Schizosaccharomyces pombe: one gene and its partners. Changing the gene in region 3 together with the main gene of any one other region gives a genetic interaction. Each region holds a gene or a part of one and is shown on either strand. Other genes may lie near its edges.

What was found.
Region 1: mutations in wdr7 (region 3) and rec14 together harm fitness more than expected from each alone (negative genetic interaction), as found in Schizosaccharomyces pombe (2 studies listed by BioGRID).
Region 2: mutations in wdr7 (region 3) and ypa1 together harm fitness more than expected from each alone (negative genetic interaction), as found in Schizosaccharomyces pombe (2 studies listed by BioGRID).

Annotation. Positions count from the first base shown.
Region 1 is NC_003423.3:2,783,897-2,788,906, forward strand, and holds rec14 (Ski complex WD repeat subunit Ski8), read left to right. Parts: upstream 1-2,998; 5' UTR 2,999-3,081; coding exon 3,082-3,370; exon of another isoform or gene 3,371-3,423; coding exon 3,424-4,043; 3' UTR 4,044-4,510; downstream 4,511-5,010. Other genes in the region: inositol phosphosphingolipid phospholipase C Css1, read right to left, coding at 381-1,655; protein Gem7, read left to right, coding at 4,574-4,849. UniProt on the Schizosaccharomyces pombe protein: Required for formation of the rec12-mediated double-strand breaks (DSBs) that initiate meiotic recombination.
Region 2 is NC_003424.3:4,833,520-4,838,090, forward strand, and holds ypa1 (type 2A protein phosphatase regulator), read left to right. Parts: upstream 1-2,675; 5' UTR 2,676-2,875; coding exon 2,876-3,748; exon of another isoform or gene 3,749-3,791; coding exon 3,792-3,896; 3' UTR 3,897-4,071; downstream 4,072-4,571. Other genes in the region: aspartyl metalloaminopeptidase Ape4, read left to right, coding at 1-909; trm7 (tRNA 2'-O-ribose methyltransferase), read right to left, coding at 1,351-2,184, 2,403-2,426; lip2 (lipoate-protein ligase), read right to left, coding at 4,131-4,571. UniProt on the Schizosaccharomyces pombe protein: PPIases accelerate the folding of proteins. It catalyzes the cis-trans isomerization of proline imidic peptide bonds in oligopeptides.
Region 3 is NC_003423.3:2,267,670-2,275,690, reverse strand, and holds wdr7 (WDR7-like protein), read left to right. Parts: upstream 1-2,438; 5' UTR 2,439-2,496; intron 2,497-2,733; 5' UTR 2,734-2,914; coding exon 2,915-3,180; intron 3,181-3,260; coding exon 3,261-4,373; exon of another isoform or gene 4,374-4,416; coding exon 4,417-6,118; 3' UTR 6,119-6,123; downstream 6,124-8,021. Other genes in the region: SPOM_SPBC16H5.12C (uncharacterized protein), read right to left, coding at 1-910, 970-1,081, 1,390-1,552, 1,607-1,618; SPOM_SPBC16H5.14C (DHRS family dehydrogenase), read right to left, coding at 6,124-6,458, 6,513-6,643, 6,695-7,089.

The DNA.
Region 1 (5,010 bases), 520 kb from region 3:
ATTTGTAATTACAGTAATCTGTTCACCAAACGAACAGAATCTTTAAATAATATTGATTTCATCCCTCTAAATCCGAAGTCGCTTTTTGTAAATACGCGTTTACAAAGACAACGAGTTTAAAAACAATGACCATTTATAAGTATACCTAAATGAAAAACAACTGGTTTGAGTCAAATATTACCAAAACCAAACTTTAAAAAAATAACACAGAAATTATCAAAGGTTGTTTGTAAAAATAATTAAAAAAAAACAATTAGGAGTCGCTAGCCTCAGCATGCAAAGCTGTGATAAAAAGCTTAGATAAAAATGATGGGAAATTTTAAATTAACAATGTGGGATAAAGCGGGATAAAGAAGGCATATTAACAGCAATCGGTAAATTTATGATTTAGCAAAGGGTAACGGATGGTCCACAAGATACTGTTTGCAAAGTAATTTCTGTTCCTTAAGTTCAGCAACAAATTCAAGCAAACCATTAAACTCCCATCTACCAAATAGCAATCCAATACAGAAACCATTGACTACTGCTGCGATGGTAAGCATTACCGTGAAGAAAAGGATGATAACCTTTAACCAAGCGGGATCACACCATGCGATGGCAACATGTACTCCTATAATTAAGGGAATAGAAATAAGTAGATGAGCAATTCGAAGTCTCATATGAAGACGTTCACGAGCCATGTATTGATATGTAATTCCTAAAGTATCATCAATGATGGAATAAGATACACGAGTTTCTTGAACTGGTATTGGTTGCAATTTTATAGACAAAACAGTCTCGATTGCAAAGTGATCAGAATAACTGCAATCCAATTTGGGAACACGTTCAAGAAATACCACTTTAGCATTTTTAGCCTCACAAGTGGAAGGAGAGTGAAAAACGTAATCGAGACGTTTAGCCACAAAGTCATCCATATCCTTACTAGAAATGTTCTCACGCCAAGTGTTGAGACGGGAATCACAAGTAGTACCAGCAATTTCAACCAACTCCTTATCATTCATGCTGAAACGGTTAGGTGGATGCTCAACTTGGTCAGGATAGACAGACAGCCAAGCATCATTGACCAAACCATAAGAGGTAATGATTTCGTGAGGAACACTAAGGGGTTGAATGTTGAAGTCACCAGCAGCGATTACGATATGACCACGTTGAACAGCAGCACGGAGCAATTTCGAGATATACCAGGCTTGTGACAGACGGTGGCACAAGTAGGTATCAGCACCCTTACCGTATGGAGCATGCAAATGAGTATTGAACAAAGAGATGATCCTTCCAGAGGGATGTTGTAAACTAGCTGTAGCGACACCCTTTCCAACATACCAATCACCTCTCCAAAAAGCTTGAGGACGACCATTAAGTGGATACTTGTTCATAGAAGATTCAATGATAGGAAACTTCGAAAACATGGCAAGTCCAGCACCCATAGCAGCACTATGGAAAAACCTAGAATAGACAAGATTGCAGCTCACCAAGTTACGAATTTCCTGAAAATCGTAAATCGACCATACTTCTTGAAGAAGAACAATGTCATAATCGCACTTCGCAAGTTTTTCGCCAACAGCTTTCAAACGTTCAGTACGGTACTTGGAAACAAAGCGCAATCCCCAACAATTAAACGAGAGAACACGCAGTTCAGGGGCCTTTTCAACACTCATTGTTGCGAGGTTGGAATTAAAAAGAGATAAAGAAGGACGGAGTTATTGCCGTCAAATGGAACAGTAAAACGAATAGTTTATAATTTGTATGTAAAGAAATAATCTAACAAAGTTTATTAGCTTAAGAAGAAAGAGAATTTAAGAAAAAAATGGATAAAGAGACGAAATTGCTGAATTAGTATAAAAACAAACAAAAAGCACCATCGTGGTCTTAAACCAAGCCAATGTCATTAACAGCATGAATTATAAAGACTCTGTCTCTTTTCTTCCACGAAAGCAGAAGACCAGCAATTTTCGACAAAAAGCTCATAACAGTATTAAAGAAGTGTTTTGAGACATTAAAATACCAATTGCAACAATTACAGCCTCAATGCATTTCATTCATAACTTACCTGTAACTAAGCGACAATATGTGCTTATTAGAACACGTATTATTAAGAAATCAGGAAATTTCTGAATATATACAAGAGGAAAGGTGGCGTGTTAAGAAAGGAAACAAGAGCCTTGTGCTTAACTTAAGCCGTTATTGTACACAGAACTGCGTGATTTTTTACTAATGTCAGATGACTCCATTTCCGATGTGTTAAAGTTATTTATGTAACGCGTTATATTTCGGTAAATCTGTAAACATTGGAGTAGAAGTTATAAATACAACACTATGTGAACTTGAGTAAACATCCATATTCCAGTGTTAAAAATTGGTTTATTTTTTATTTAGTATCTTTTAAAAATCAATATTAAAGATAGTCTTTCTTCCCTTCTGAATTGTGGCGTTTTTAAAAATCGTTTTGTAAGTGTGTTTAAGTCATTCGAAAAAAATGGTATGAATAAACAAGTTGTTCCAAATTGCATAATGAAATGATTAGGTTATCTACTAAAATAATTTATTCAAATTTACTTTACCTATTGCAAGAATCACGAAGCGTTATTTATCGTTTCTCTTGACTTGCTACACTAGACGAGTAAGATAAAGGGAAAAAAGTAATCTTAAATTTTAGTAATTGCTGTTATCTATATCATATAAATTAATCGACAATTATGGGCGCCAGGTCTTTTTATTTCCTGGATGTTAACATTTGATATCTGCTCATCTTTATTTGATCAAACTTCGAATTGTTCAAATTTGAAAAACCTACTATTGCCAAAAGTTTAAACAATTTAATTCAGTGTCACGGTTAACAACTAATAATCTCACCTTCTCATTTCTACCTACAGAAAAGAATTATTTTCTTTCATTCATACTTATAAATTCATCTTTTCACTAACATGTTTAGGGTATGTGCATAGACCGTGTATATCTAAGGAGAACGCAACCACAGTAAACTAAGTCCTGCTAGTCACAGGTTTAAGTATTATAAAGTATTGGAAAGCGCCAGCATTTTAATTACTAATTTTGTTGTATTATTTTCCTTATTTATTAGATACTATGAGGAAAGAGTATCTCGTTAGCCATATAGAAGAAAATGCACATCAAGCAGACATTTACTCTCTCAATGTAGTCGCAGGCAATCTTTGGTCGGCTTCTGGGGATTCCAAAATAAAAAAATGGTCTATAGGTGATGCTGAGCATAGCTTAGTTGAAGAAATAGATACCCCTCATAAACTTGGCGTTCATCATCTAGCAACTAGCTTGGATGAAAACGTCGTCGTTTCTTGCGGATTTGGACAGGATGTTTATGTTTGGAATCCTGAAACTAATGAATTTCGAGACTTGGGTACGAATTACTTTACGAAGAAGCTATGCATTTCTCTAACGAATATGATTTAGGTAATAATGCTCAACATCCCAGCGAATGCTGGTCTTCTTGCATTAGCCCTGATGGACAAACGATTGCTTTCACATCTGTAGACGGGCGTATTGCTGTCTGGGACAATCCAAGTGATTGCAAAATTTCCGAGTTAGATACCAAAGGTAAATTCGGTCTTTGTATAGACTATTCTCCCAATGGAAGATTTATCGTTTCTGGTCATCAAACTGGGCAGCTTTTCCTTATAAGTACAGAAACAGGACGCTTGTTTCATGTACTATCGGGCCACACTTCCCCTGTACGATCAGTGGCGTTCTCTCCTGGTTCAACACTTTTAGCTGCTGCCGGGGATTCTAAAATGATTACTATCTACGACGTTTTATCAGGGGATCAAGTCGGCCAACTTCGTGGTCATGCTGCATGGATTTTTGCAGTAGCTTTCAATCCCGTAGGTGATTTGTTGCTTTCGGCTGATGTTGAAGGAAAAATCAAAATCTGGGATATTGACACCATGGAATGTATTAGTACACAAAGTGAAACGGATGGAGCTATTTGGGCTGTGGCATGGTATAAAAATGGGTTCATCGTCGCAGGTGCTGATAAAAGTATTCGTTGGTATAGAGCTGCTGCTACAGAATAATTGCACTCTTGTGCTTTCTTAATGACCGATGGAAAAGTTTTTAAAAAATAGCAAAAAATTAAGGAGTTTCTAATATTTGGATTAATTATGAATATCAACACTTTACTCGTAAAACGAAAGGATCTTGAAATGGATTATTTTAGGGTAACGCATTTTTCTTTTCACTTTCATCATTACAAGTATGTTTGTATCATTGTTTACTTTCGTTCGATACGCTTTTACTTTTTATATAAATTATCTAAGCATAAATTCCTAAGGAAATACGAATCTCATTCAAAGTTTCCATTGTATTTAAAACATGAGTTGACTCATAATATCTATAAAAGTTTATTTTTTATTTTATAGGTAATGGTTAGCTTAGTTTCTTATGTGTTTTAACTGTATTACATTACGTGCCTAGAAAGTTTACTCTCACATACGATAACGACGCAAACCGTTTAAAACCATGCACATACTGCATATGTTATAATCTTTACTTTGAAGACTTTTTGTAATTCAAGATTACTTTTTGTTGATAAATTTTCACACTAATGGCAGAAAATAATAAAAAGTCTACTGCTTACATCCAGAGGATGCGAACACTAAAATTTTATCAAAAAATGGCTTCTGCGCGAATCCCGATCACTGTGTACCTCCACGATCAACGAGAAGTAAAAGCAGAATTTGGAGCGATAGACAGTAGTGAGTCAAAGTTGGCAGTTTCCAATCTACAAACCGATTGGGGCGTTATTAACAGAGCGGTGATACGAACAGGAGACGTCGTGGGCATCGAATACAATTTGGTGCAGGAAGAAGGAGAACTTTGATGATACATTACGATTTTCAGATACAGAAGCCTTAACAGCCATGGTATTCAATTCAGTGTTTACAGATGAGAAAGCGTGATGTACATAGTATGCATAGTTGTATAGAAGCGCAACATAATTAATGTTATTTATTTAGGAGGAATATTAAAAATAATATCGTA
Region 2 (4,571 bases), on a different chromosome or scaffold from region 3:
TCTGCCAATTCTTCTTTTTCATTCAATATGGAAACAGAATTTGTTCCGCTTATTGGATTGGAAAATGAACTTGCGAAGGAAGAAACCTCTGATAATGGTGACAAATATCACCATCCTGTTTTGCTTTCTTTACTTGCGAATGAAATATCTAAATCATTAGAGACAACTATAGATCCTTCCAAAATTGTGGATTTTGAGTTGATTCTAGGTGATGCTGAAAAGGCTCGCCTTGGCGGAATTCACGAAGAGTTTGTATTCTCACCTCGTCTCGATAACCTTGGAATGACATTTTGCGCATCTCAAGCTTTAACTAAATCATTGGAAAATAACTCCCTTGATAATGAAAGTTGCGTTAGAGTTGTTCCCTCCTTTGACCACGAGGAAATCGGTTCCGTGTCAGCTCAAGGTGCTGAAAGCACGTTTTTACCAGCTGTTCTCCAAAGAATATGCGAGCTGGGGAAAGAAAGTTCTTTGTTTTCAATTTCCATGGTAAAAAGTTTTCTAGTTTCTGCTGACATGGCTCATGCCATGCATCCCAATTACTCATCTCGCTATGAAAATTCGAATACCCCATTTTTGAACAAAGGAACTGTAATTAAAGTTAATGCGAATCAGCGTTATACGACTAATTCCGCAGGCATAGTCCTTTTAAAGAAAGTAGCTCAACTCGCCGATGTGCCAATTCAGTCATTCGTGGTGCGAAATGATTCTCCTTGTGGAAGCACTATTGGTCCCAAACTTGCTGCCATGACAGGAATGCGTACACTCGATTTAGGAAATCCTATGCTTTCTATGCACTCTTGCCGTGAAATGTGTGGCTCCAAGGACTTTGAGTATGCAGTCGTCTTATTCTCTTCATTTTTTCAAAACTTTGCAAATTTGGAAGAAAAAATCATTATTGATGAATAGTTTACCAAGTTTGTTTATGTCTTACACCTCATGATACTATGGGTTCATAAGAACGCCATGAAATTTACCGAACTCGTATCTGTTGGCCGTGCTATGAGTAGTACTAGTTGCCTCTCTTATAGTTATGAAAATGATATCCACATGACAATTATAATCATAACCCCATGATTTGCTATAGCAAGGTATAAAGTTAAACATGACTAGCAAGTCTTTCAACGAAAGCATGTGTGTATCAAAAGTAATTGATTTAGATAAAAATTCATAAGAGGAAATTCTGATTATAAGTATACCGAACACATCCTGCTTTCTTTAATTTTTTTATGAAAAAAGAATGATAGGTTCAAAAATAGATTATACCTATATAATATACAATAGTAAAACCCACTGCTAAATTAAACGAAAGAAAAGATTAAATAAAAAAGAGACAATTGGAATAATAGGTTACGACATCATCTTGCTATGCTTCAATTCGATAGCTCGTTTATAAGGAGGAGCGGTTGGAGGTTGTATAACGTCTAAGGTAGCCTTTTTCATATTTATTTCAACGGGATAAGTAGCGTCCGCATCATAACCATCAAGGTCACCACATGCAATAAATGGTGCAATCTCATGAGCATTGGTTGGATCGATTACACATAAAGGTTTTGTTAAATCGGGTTGAAAATTAGAAGGGGGGTTAAAATCTTCACAAACGACAAAGGACTCGATAGAGCTAGCACGAGAGCTTCTTGGTTTAGCACAAGAAACTTTTCGAAACATCAAACGAAGCTGAGAGTATAACAGTGAAACATCTCGTCCACGAAAAATTTTTGCAACAAATTTCCCACCAGGCTTTAAAACACAAACCGCTAAATTAAATGCAGCTAACAATATCTGTGCTTGAATATATTCATCTAGGTCGTGCAAACCAGTAACATCTGGGGCACCATCACTAACTACGAGATCAGCCGGTTCATTACCAAAGTGAGACAAAATAATTGAAAGGGTGTTGGGATGAGTAATGTCTAATTGCAGGGTGCATACCCCATCGATTGGTGCCATGGGTTGAAGATCAACAGCAACAATCATAGGTTTCTCATCTGCGGCAATGGAAGTATCAATGTTTTTGAGTAACTCACGAGACAAAACTTGAGACCAAGACCCCGGTGCAGCACATAAGTCTACAACTCTTTTTGCTCCTTCAAATAAATTGAACTGTTCGTTTAATTGGAGCAATTTGAAAGCTGAGCGGGCTCTCCACCCTTGTTCCTTCGCCAGACGATAATAGGCATCTCTCTAAAAAAGTGTAAAGTTAGTATTTTAACAAAATAAATAGTTAAATAATTATTTAGCAATAAAAAAAAAATGAAATAATAAACTAAAATGTTTCTATATGCGACTGAGAAACATTAAAGTTTACACATTAATATACGATATAACTTCGATAAAATTAACGTAAACTTTTCGCTACAAAGTTAAGTATTTACAAGGTTTCAGTAACGCACGAGACATACCTTATCTTTGCTGCTTCTCCCCATTTGTTTTTCAGTTTGGTAAAAACTGGTTGAAATTATTATATTCGTTTCTTGCATCGATTGTATTGAATAAACATATCGTTAAATATTGATTAGGAGATAATTATTTCGGTAGCGTATTGTTATGAAGTGGTTCGAATTAACATATGGATACATCACTATAAAGATTTTAGGATATAATCACATCCATAGTACTAATTATCGTTAAACTAATCTTAATCAAGTTATTGAATAAGCTAAATGCTTCTTCTCGAATACTGCTATTATACTCTATCTTGATGAAAGCAATATCAAGCTGTTTTTAAATGCTGTTATAGTTGCTGTTATATTCTTTAACTTGGTCCTGGTTTTTTTTAATAAAGAGTCGTTCATCAAAGCCTGTAACTTAGTGAGTGTCGTAAATCTATTGGCGTATACGCGAACTTGATTGATTCATTGTTTATTGCTTTACAATGCAAGTCGTAGATGAGAAAACAATACTAGAGCTTGAAAATGAAAGGTTTGATGAAAGTTCACAGTTTAAAACTCCCGAAAAACTAATCGTGGAGGCGAGCGATATGACGGCGTTTCGACAATCGAAAGCATATTATCGAATTTTTGATTTTTTACAGCGTCTCAATATTGCATCTGTGGGTGTGAACGATTATCATGTGGAATACTCAACAAGAGTTGAAAAGTTAGTACGAATATTGTGTAGAGTTAAAGAAATTACTAAAACTGTACCACCTGCATCAGGTCGGCATCGGTTTGGTAATCCTGCTTTTCGAATATGGCACGAAAAGCTACGTGACTCCGCCTCTCAAATTATGGACATCATTATTCCTGATTCATTGAGTAAGGCAAAAGTGGAGTTACTGGACTATTTTTTGGGATCGTTTGGTAATTCTCAAAGAATTGACTTTGGTACGGGTCATGAGTTAAATTTTTTGGGTTTTATTAAGGGCTTGGACTTGCTGGGACTTTTAGATGCCGCAGATTATAAAGCTATCGCCTTGTACATAACCCATGTTTACTTGGAAGTTTGTCGTGAGCTCGTTCAAACTTATCGCTTAGAGCCTGCTGGCTCACATGGAGTTTGGGGGCTTGATGATCATTTTTTTATTCCTTATATTTTTGGTTCTGCCCAACTTGCTGATAAGGCATCATCTTCCATCATAAAGCCTGATGCTATACTTAACAAAAAAATAGTGGATGAAAAAGCTAATAGCAACTTGTATTTTAGTGCTATCAAGTTTATAAACGTGATGAAAAAGGGCCCATTTTACGAACATTCCCCAATATTGTATGATATAACCGCTGTTCCTATATGGTCAAAGGTCAATCAGGTATGTTAAGAAGTGTGTATTTATTAAGCTAATTACTTTCAAGGGATTGATAAAAATGTACGATGTGGAAGTGCTGAGCAAATATCCTGTTGTTCAACACTTTCATTTTGGAAATCTCTTTCCGTTTAACCCTTTAGTTGCAAAGTAGTTTAACTTTAATCTTTCGTGCAATTTCAAAAACAAATAGTCACTGTTATTAATGTTATGTTTTATTTATTGTATCTTTTATGGTTGCTGATAAGCTATTTTATAGGGGCCAAAAGGAAGGAAAGCCCGCAAATTTACTGAAAAAATTTTTAATAAACCAAATTATCGCAAGAATAGCATTACTGTTATTGCATTATATTTTTTATAAGTAATACTGTTTCTAATACATTTAAATTTATTTACTCATTAAAAAGCTATCAAGGTTATTTACCAGTACCTTCTCTACAGACTTTAAGTCAGTAAAAACTCCTTGGTCTTTAAAACTGGTAGTGTTTTTTCCATATAATCCGCAACCCACAATGTAATTGAAATACTTAAGATCCGTACTAACATTGAGCGCAAGACCATGACTAGTAATATTTCGGCGTAAATGAATACCAATTGCTGCAATTTTATCGTTTTCTGTTACCCACACACCGGTGTTTTTTGTTGTATGAGCTTTTTCGATGCCAAAGCTTTTACATGTTGCTATAATCGCTTGCTCTAGCCTTGACACATATTCACGTGGACTTAATCCAAAGGACTTCAAATCAATAATAGGATATGCAAGTATTTGACCAGGACCATGAAATGTAGTTTGCCCACCACGCAATGCTTTAACAACTTTAGCCTTAGG
Region 3 (8,021 bases):
TTTGCTTTCCACTTGAACATGCCCATTTTCGACGACAAAAACAGTCCATCCAAAGGAAGCATCTAATAAATTGAAGTTCCATAGGTTTTTAAAAGCAGTGCCGGGAAGCATGTTATTCATAGCATATGAGTTAGTTGCATCGGGCATGCGAGAGACTAGGCGAACAACATTGTTTATTAGATGATGTTGTTCAGGGGTAACCATCTTCTCAACCTCAGCCTTAACAGTGTCATACACTTCCATAAACTGTGCACGGGCAGCCGAAAGTTTTTGAAGATAATGTTCAGGACTATGATTTACGCAAAACTCATTGTAGCTAGCTCCATAACGAAAATGAAGACCGGCGGATAAAGTCAGGTCAGCCTGGCAAGCAGTAGCTAATTGAGAAAGAACACCTTCTCTTCCAATGGGATGATGCGTAATAAAAATACGTGCCTCCTCTCTGTCAAGCAGGCTCTTAGCGGTTTCTATTAGTTCACCCATTTGAAGGATTGTAGTCCACATAGTACCCTGGCCACCAGCAATAGTTCCTTTACCGTCTCCATTGTCAAAAAGCTTAAAAGGGACATAAGGACCTCCAAGACCAAGTAAACGGATTTTCATATCTCCAATTTGCAATAGGTAGGAATGAAGTTCGTCCACTATGTTAAGGTTTGGAATAGAATATTCTCCAGAACGAAATTTTTCCAAAACGTGCACATCTTCGCAAGCTCCCCATACTACATATACAGGGACTGAGAATTTCTTCTCTTGTGACAAAAATTGAGGTAATTCTGAAAGCAGGCAATCGGGGTGAGAAGCAATACTATTCTTCAAATCCCCAATTGGATTCGAGGGATAATAATCAAAGTTTTTGGACCTAGGAAGCTTTTTTATGAGAGGCGAGAATTGGACAATGTGACGAAGAGTACTGAAAAAAGGTTAGAACAAAGAAAAATGAAACATAAAAATTTTTGACACAAAACATACCGTTCAGATATGCTAGGAAGTGAGGATCGCTCAAAAAATCCAAAGTCACCAGTGTGGATGACACAGGAGGCATTGGTTTCCTCAACCAGGCTATTTATTAAACTCAGTTCACCTGAAGGGATAGTTATTAGTAAAAACGCGTATTAAAGAGTAGTAATTTTAAGGATAGGAATAGCTAAGGAGAATAAAGTGTATGGACAAAATTCTTTTACGAACCAACGAGGATCTTTAATGACAAAATGAGTAAATTGAGCAATTGCGCTTCAACTCCTGCTAAGCCATTATGGATAAGTTCATGCAAAAGCATACAAATTCGCATCTTCTTATCTTAAAAAGTAAAACGATCGTCGATAATTCCCCCGATGGGGTGCTTTTGAATTCTCGCTGGCAGCTCTAAATCCATAAACAACGCATACTTACCTCGAACATCGGCAATACATAAGATCCTGGATTTATTATCCAATGTGAGTACTTGAGCTGAAACATCCAACGTGGAATTATTCTCGGAATCTGAGTACGTTTTAGAGGATTTATTTTCCAGCGTCCCAGTTGAAGGTTCCGCTTGAATATCACTTTTAGCCGTCTTTTATGTAATTAGTTTAAAATTTTTGCAAAGATTCATTAGATCTATACTTACATCCACGCTCATTATATCGTAAAAATCTAATGAAACGGATAAAACAGTAAATGGTGTTGAGTAAGGGTTTTGTGATGATGCCTCAGTTTCGGCACTGTACTACTTCCTACTACAATAAGAGAATGTTGCTTCGTAATGTTATAACTTAGATCCACCACAAACGAAGTAAAGTAAATTAAATATATAAATACACAAAAAGCAGCAGTTAATAGATAGTTTTTGAAATTTTTAACGTGACAATTGTATTTCTGTAGTATAAAACTCCACAAAAAATAAAAATAAAAATAAAATTTAGTATATATTAATATATATATTTATATATAAATATGAAAAAAAAAGGTGCTTCAATGAAGGATTACAAAATTCTTGAGAAAGCTCGGTAATCGGGACGGCAGAGTTTATTAGGGTATATGTTAAATGTTGCAGCTTTGGAATGGAATTGTTAACTTATTTTACACATACTATGACTTAAGTTTGCCTCGTGTACAGTAGATGATGCTACAGTCTGAAGTATATTTCAATTTCGTTATATCGTTTTTCCAGGTTGAGATTTGAATACTAGTTGCAGTGCGAAATTTACAACATTTGAAGTATGTAAATGTTCTGTTTATTTGGCAAATTGAATAAAATAAGACTGTTAGCAATTTTTTCGGTTTTTTTCTATGTACAACAATACTCTTTTGTGTTATTAAATAATGCTCGTTTACTATAACTTAAACTCGTTTGTACGCTGTATTCTTACTACTAAGTATTGTCAAGATTTGGAAGCAAGGGCATCGCCCCATCAACTAGGTCATATAGTATTCGCGTGCTTCAAGTAGCACAGCAGCACATTCCCACCACCGAGTGGAATTCGAAGTTGTGTGCAGTGGTATAAATTTTGGAGAAGTGTAAGTTGTATATAATTCAAGAATGAAGAGATTTATGTAATGATTGATACAATCGGAGCTGTCGATGCATACATTCTATTAAATGACGGATGGACGAATTGTTTACATGGCTATTTGTTAGACATTCTTGTCTATGGCTGTTGCAAGTTCTTCATTTTTCTTAGATTCTCTTCCTCAAATACTTGTTGCATCTTGTTTATTCGTTTGCGTTCCGAATTTGCTAATTTTACATTCAAGAATATCGCGGCAACTGTTAGTCTGCCTAAATATTGTTTTAATTTCATTTTCTGCGTTTTCAATTACTTTTATATTTAAAAAGGTTTAACAATTACTGAATTGAGTGGTTATTTGGGAAGCCGTGTTCGAACAGCGTTCAAAATTGATGTCAGCCTTAGACCGTTGTTGATTGCGAATCAAAATGGATTGGGTTGCATTGTCGAAAAGCTGTAAAACTCATTTGTTAGATGAAGGCCTTGACGTGTCTTCAATACATTGTTTTGATCAGTATTTGATAGTAGGCCAATGTTCCGGCCAAGTCATGGTATTTGACGTTTCTACAGACAATCATTTCACTTTGATCCAAACATTTATAGCACACAAACATTCCGTTTCTTCTATAGTTTGCCTTCCATTTGAAGCTGATGGAATTGTAGACCTATCAATCATTACACTCGACGAATCTGGGTATGTTGAGCAACTCTCATTAGCCGAGCAGCAATTATCAAATTCATTATTTAACTTATTTCTTGCTAACATTTTCTCAGATTACTTTGTCAATGGCTACTGAAAACATGTGACCGACGAGCTACTTTGCAATTGTGTGACGGGCTATGTTTAAAGCTATTTAGATTAAATAACAACTTTCTTGCTGTTACCGGAACCTTTTTGAAAATATATCTCATTAGAATCTCCAACTTTCAGATAGTTGCGACTTGGACTGGTCATGAGGACTGGCCTATTTTGTTTCCGTTCAAAGACGAAGCTTTATTAATCCCTGTCGCCTATTCAGATGGATCTGTATCTCTTTGGTCAGTTGATTGGTCAGCTCTTACTTTTAAAAGAAATTCAGTTACAAAAGCAGATGTTAAACCAACTTTTGGTAAGGTTATTGATGTTGTACCAGCAGATTGCATTTCTTCCAATTATGCGCTATATGTATACTCGGATGCGGTAGTACTATTGGAATCGCATGAGAAATTTATAGCTTCATATTCACTTGCAGAGATAACATCTGTATTTGTTTTGGCTGATGGCACGGCTTGTATTTTTACTCTTTCGTCTTCAACTTTACTCAAACTTCATCAATCTCCTGAACCTCATTTCGAATTAATTTCTAAGTATTCTGGAGATTTTCCATGGAAATCGTGCACCATTTTAAAAAGTAAACCCGTTAGTTTGTGTGTTTATCCCGAAAAAATAACTTTCAATTGGTTAACAGAAGGAACCGTAGACTCATGCAATCTTTGTAAGTTGAGCAATACAGCTGCTGTTTCCTACGCTTATACGGACTCTCTTAATTTATTCCTTGGAACAACCTCTGGTTTAGTGATGTTTTCTTTGTTTGACTGGTACCTTCACAATGATCCAGCTCCTCTTTACTCTTTTACAAGGGTTTCTGGAATTGTAACATATATGAAAATATTTGAAACTGAACATTCACGCTCAATTTTAGTTGTTGCTACCAAAACTGGAAAGGCTTACTTTTATCAACAACTTCAGGGTGAAAGATGGAGATTTCTCTGCGAGCGTGCTTTGCAATCTTCTTCAATTACTAAAATTATTCATGCAAAGAAATCATTATCTTCTGGTTCATCAGGCTTATTTATTTTTATGAGTTTAGATGGCTCATTGTGTGCCTTGGATGAATCTTATAATCTGTAAGTTATCAGTGTGTTATCAGTTATTAATCGACTTTTATAGTCTAAGCTACTTGCCATCTGATGGTGCTCAAGTTGAAACTTTGTACTCATTTCCCGATTTAGATCAAATCTATGTTGCTTATGACAATTTTCAACTATTAAATTGGGACGTTGTGGATCAAAAATGTTCTGAAGGAAATTATTCAGATATTATTGACTCTTCGTTCATATCTATTGGTACTTTTGATAAATCTAACCTCCCTACTTTGTATCATGGTTCTTGTGCTTTACTCACCGATAATTTGGTTACTGTTTTTTTAGACGCTCATGATTTAGTACTGAACCTCAATTTTTCTAATGAAAATTACATAGAAAAAACGTATATTGACGAGTTCCTTGACTTTATCCAACCTCCTTTCCTAAACTCTGATATAGAGATGGAGCATCAGTTGTTAGGTACTGTTTTTGATCAATCCAGTTTGCATCTTGGTGTGGGTAAGCCAGATGGAAATGCCATACTTCGATTTGACACCGAAATGAAGTCAATAATAAATACTGCACCAAATTGTTCCGCTTTGCTGTTATATCTATATTTTTCTCTAATGGTTCCTTTATGTAAATATGATGGGCTGAGCGATACCAAATTGACTGAAGGAATATTATTAAAGTTAAAAGACCTGAAAACGGTTGATTACAGTATTTCCGTTCTTTCATACGTCTGGAATAATTCAGGCAAGGTTATGCAGGGTATAATTAAATCAATGTTGTCGAGAACATTGGAACTTATATCTCCAGAGGAACTTCAGAGGCTTATATATTATTATTTTGAGTTTTTTACGACTACAGGTGGAGAGTACTATCTGAAAAAGGAGGTGCAACATTCACTGTACATCTTGTCATTAATTGTCAGTTTACGGCCTTCAGCATTTGATGTTTCACAATTGAAATTTTTGTCTTCCTATTTATTACAAAAATCCGAAAGTATGGACTATGACTTAACAGCAATTCGCCTGTTGAGTAATGGTTTTTCCGTGTTTTCAAAACATATTGATCCTGCAAAGTTTATATACAACCTGGTTTTGTCATCCTTAGAGAATACTAAGGATTTGGATGATAAAAATAGCATTCTCTATAGATCAATAGTGGATGTCTCAGTTTCGAATGCTGTTTTACTGCTTACATGTTTATGCGATGAAGTTTATGAGCAAATGAAATCAAATTTACGTTCCGTTATACTAAAAGTTGTGTCTTTGGCAATTGAAAACACACAATCCGAATTTTCTTTATTTAATCAATTGATCACGGAAAAATTACTTCCAATCCTTTACTCTAGCCGCTCGGTTGAAGAAGTTCACGACGTTACTAACGCAATTGCAACCCAATTTCCATTTGCATGTTTTGATAGTAAGGTGGAAAAATATTCCTACATTGACGATGGTGATCTTGTGGTTTATGAAATAGCTAAAAGAAGGAAAGTCGTCAGCAAGGAAAACGCCGAATGTGATATTCAGGTATTGTCCGCCAGTCCTTCTGGTGACTATTTTGTTGGAGTCAGTGCTACGCAAAAGGAATGCATTATTTGGAAATACAGCCAAGATTTCGTAAAATTCTTGAACTTATCAACACCTTCATTAACGATCCGAAAACGTATATTATTACAAACTAACAAAACGAATGAGGTTGAAATTCCTGAAGTCCTATGGATTAGCCAGTCATCAGCAGAAGTCCATATTGGGAGCACCTTTGCTATCATTGACTTGTAGGTGGATTATGAATAAATTTTATCCATGCCACTAAATAGACGAGCCAATTTTTGTATTGGAAGTGGGAAAAACCTCAGTAGAGGCATAAAACGTGCGTAAAATGGATAGTAAAAACGACCCGATTTGTTTGTATATAAGTTTTGAATAATAATTTTTGCTAAGTTTTGAGGTTCTAGTAGAGGGGCTAATACTCTGTTTGGGGTATCTTTTTCGAACATTGTAGATTTAATTTGCCCTAAAACATAAAGAGAAAACTTGAAGTTGGGATGCTGTGATAAAACCTCTTCCTCTAATGTTTCATGTAGCGAAACTAGTGCCGCTTTTGAAGATGAATAGGCACCTGTTAATCACGTTAGAAAGGAAAAGCAAATTTTATAAAATCAACCCCACTTACCGACTCCCATCGCACTAAAATAAGCCAAGGAGGATGCTATGTTGACCACATGAGGATTTGGATCTTGTAAAAGGAGAGGAAATAATGCAGATGTAATTGCCAGCTGTCCGATCACATTTGTTTCAAAGCATCTAAATTAAGCAGTTAGAAAATAAGGCTTACTACGCTTAACCTGTACTTACTTTTGTAATTCTTGTCTTGATATAGACAGCAAATGATTTTTTGGAGCAATAGCTGCAGCATTGATCAGAGCAAAAGGGGTCCTGTTCATCTTTTTCAAAGAATGGACACATCCTTCTACGTCCTTATCTTTGGTAATATTACATTTCAAAGCACTAAATTTAGAATTGTACTGTAGAAAAGATGCAGGCTCAGTACTGTCCAAAGAGGCGACGCTGAAGCCTCTATCCAACGCCTCTTGAATAATAGCATGACCAAGAATCCCACTTCCTCCTGTTATCACAATCAGTCCTTTAGCACATGAATAGGATTGTTTCCTGAAAAGTAGAGGAAACCAAGAAAGGGTTAAGGCAGCACAAACAAGCGAAATCACCAATAATAATATATGATTCAACATCAGGGAATGACTTCTGTGAAAAATATGATAAGTTGCTGAATGGAAACTTGGCAGAAAGTCGTTAACATTAGCAGCGAACTCTTTTGTGTTTCGAATAAGTTAACGTCCAAGTTCTGATCGTCTAAAGACCCTAATATCGTATTTGACGAAGTCAAGGAGAGAACCTTAGTAGATGCTGCCAAACAAAAGCTATTTCCTAGTGTAAGCAAAAATCACGCGTAGTAGAATAATTCATTAAATCGTTGAACACTGCTTTTATAAACTTATATAATAAAGTTTTGATCAGTATCGCCAATGTTGTATTGAACTTGTTAACTAAATTATTCAATCCGTACTACGAAAAATGGAATGCCCATCCTGATCTTAACTTGATTAGTCTTATAGAGTCAAAGATAAGTGATGGTTTTTTTTTTAAAATATTACGCCTATCATAAAAAGAAGCATTAAAAAATGCGATTAAGAATTGCGTCTTCAATTTCCTTATATATTGAAACATAGTACACACTATACCTTCCCTTCATCTTCGACTAGTTGTTTTTAAAATATTTGAAAGTTTGAGCGTGCTCAGTTTTCTATGTTGCATATAGATCAAAGGAACATATGTATGTTAGTAAATATCATTGCATTCAACTATGCTATTAATTAATGTTTATTAAATGATCCCAACGCATGTTGATGTTGTATTTTGCATTTGGTAACCCGCAGTTGGAATTTTCAGGCATCTACGTACAAAGTAAATAAAGTGCAAAAGGGTCAGCTCATTAGTTTTACGGGTCCTCAATTCGATGTTGCAGATTTTACAAGTTTTTAAAATGTATTTCATTATTACTTTTTATATGCCTAATAAAAAAGCCATAGTTTAATCTATAGATAACTTTTTTTCCAGTGCACTAACGGACGTTACATTCCCATACAAAACTGCGTAGTTAAAG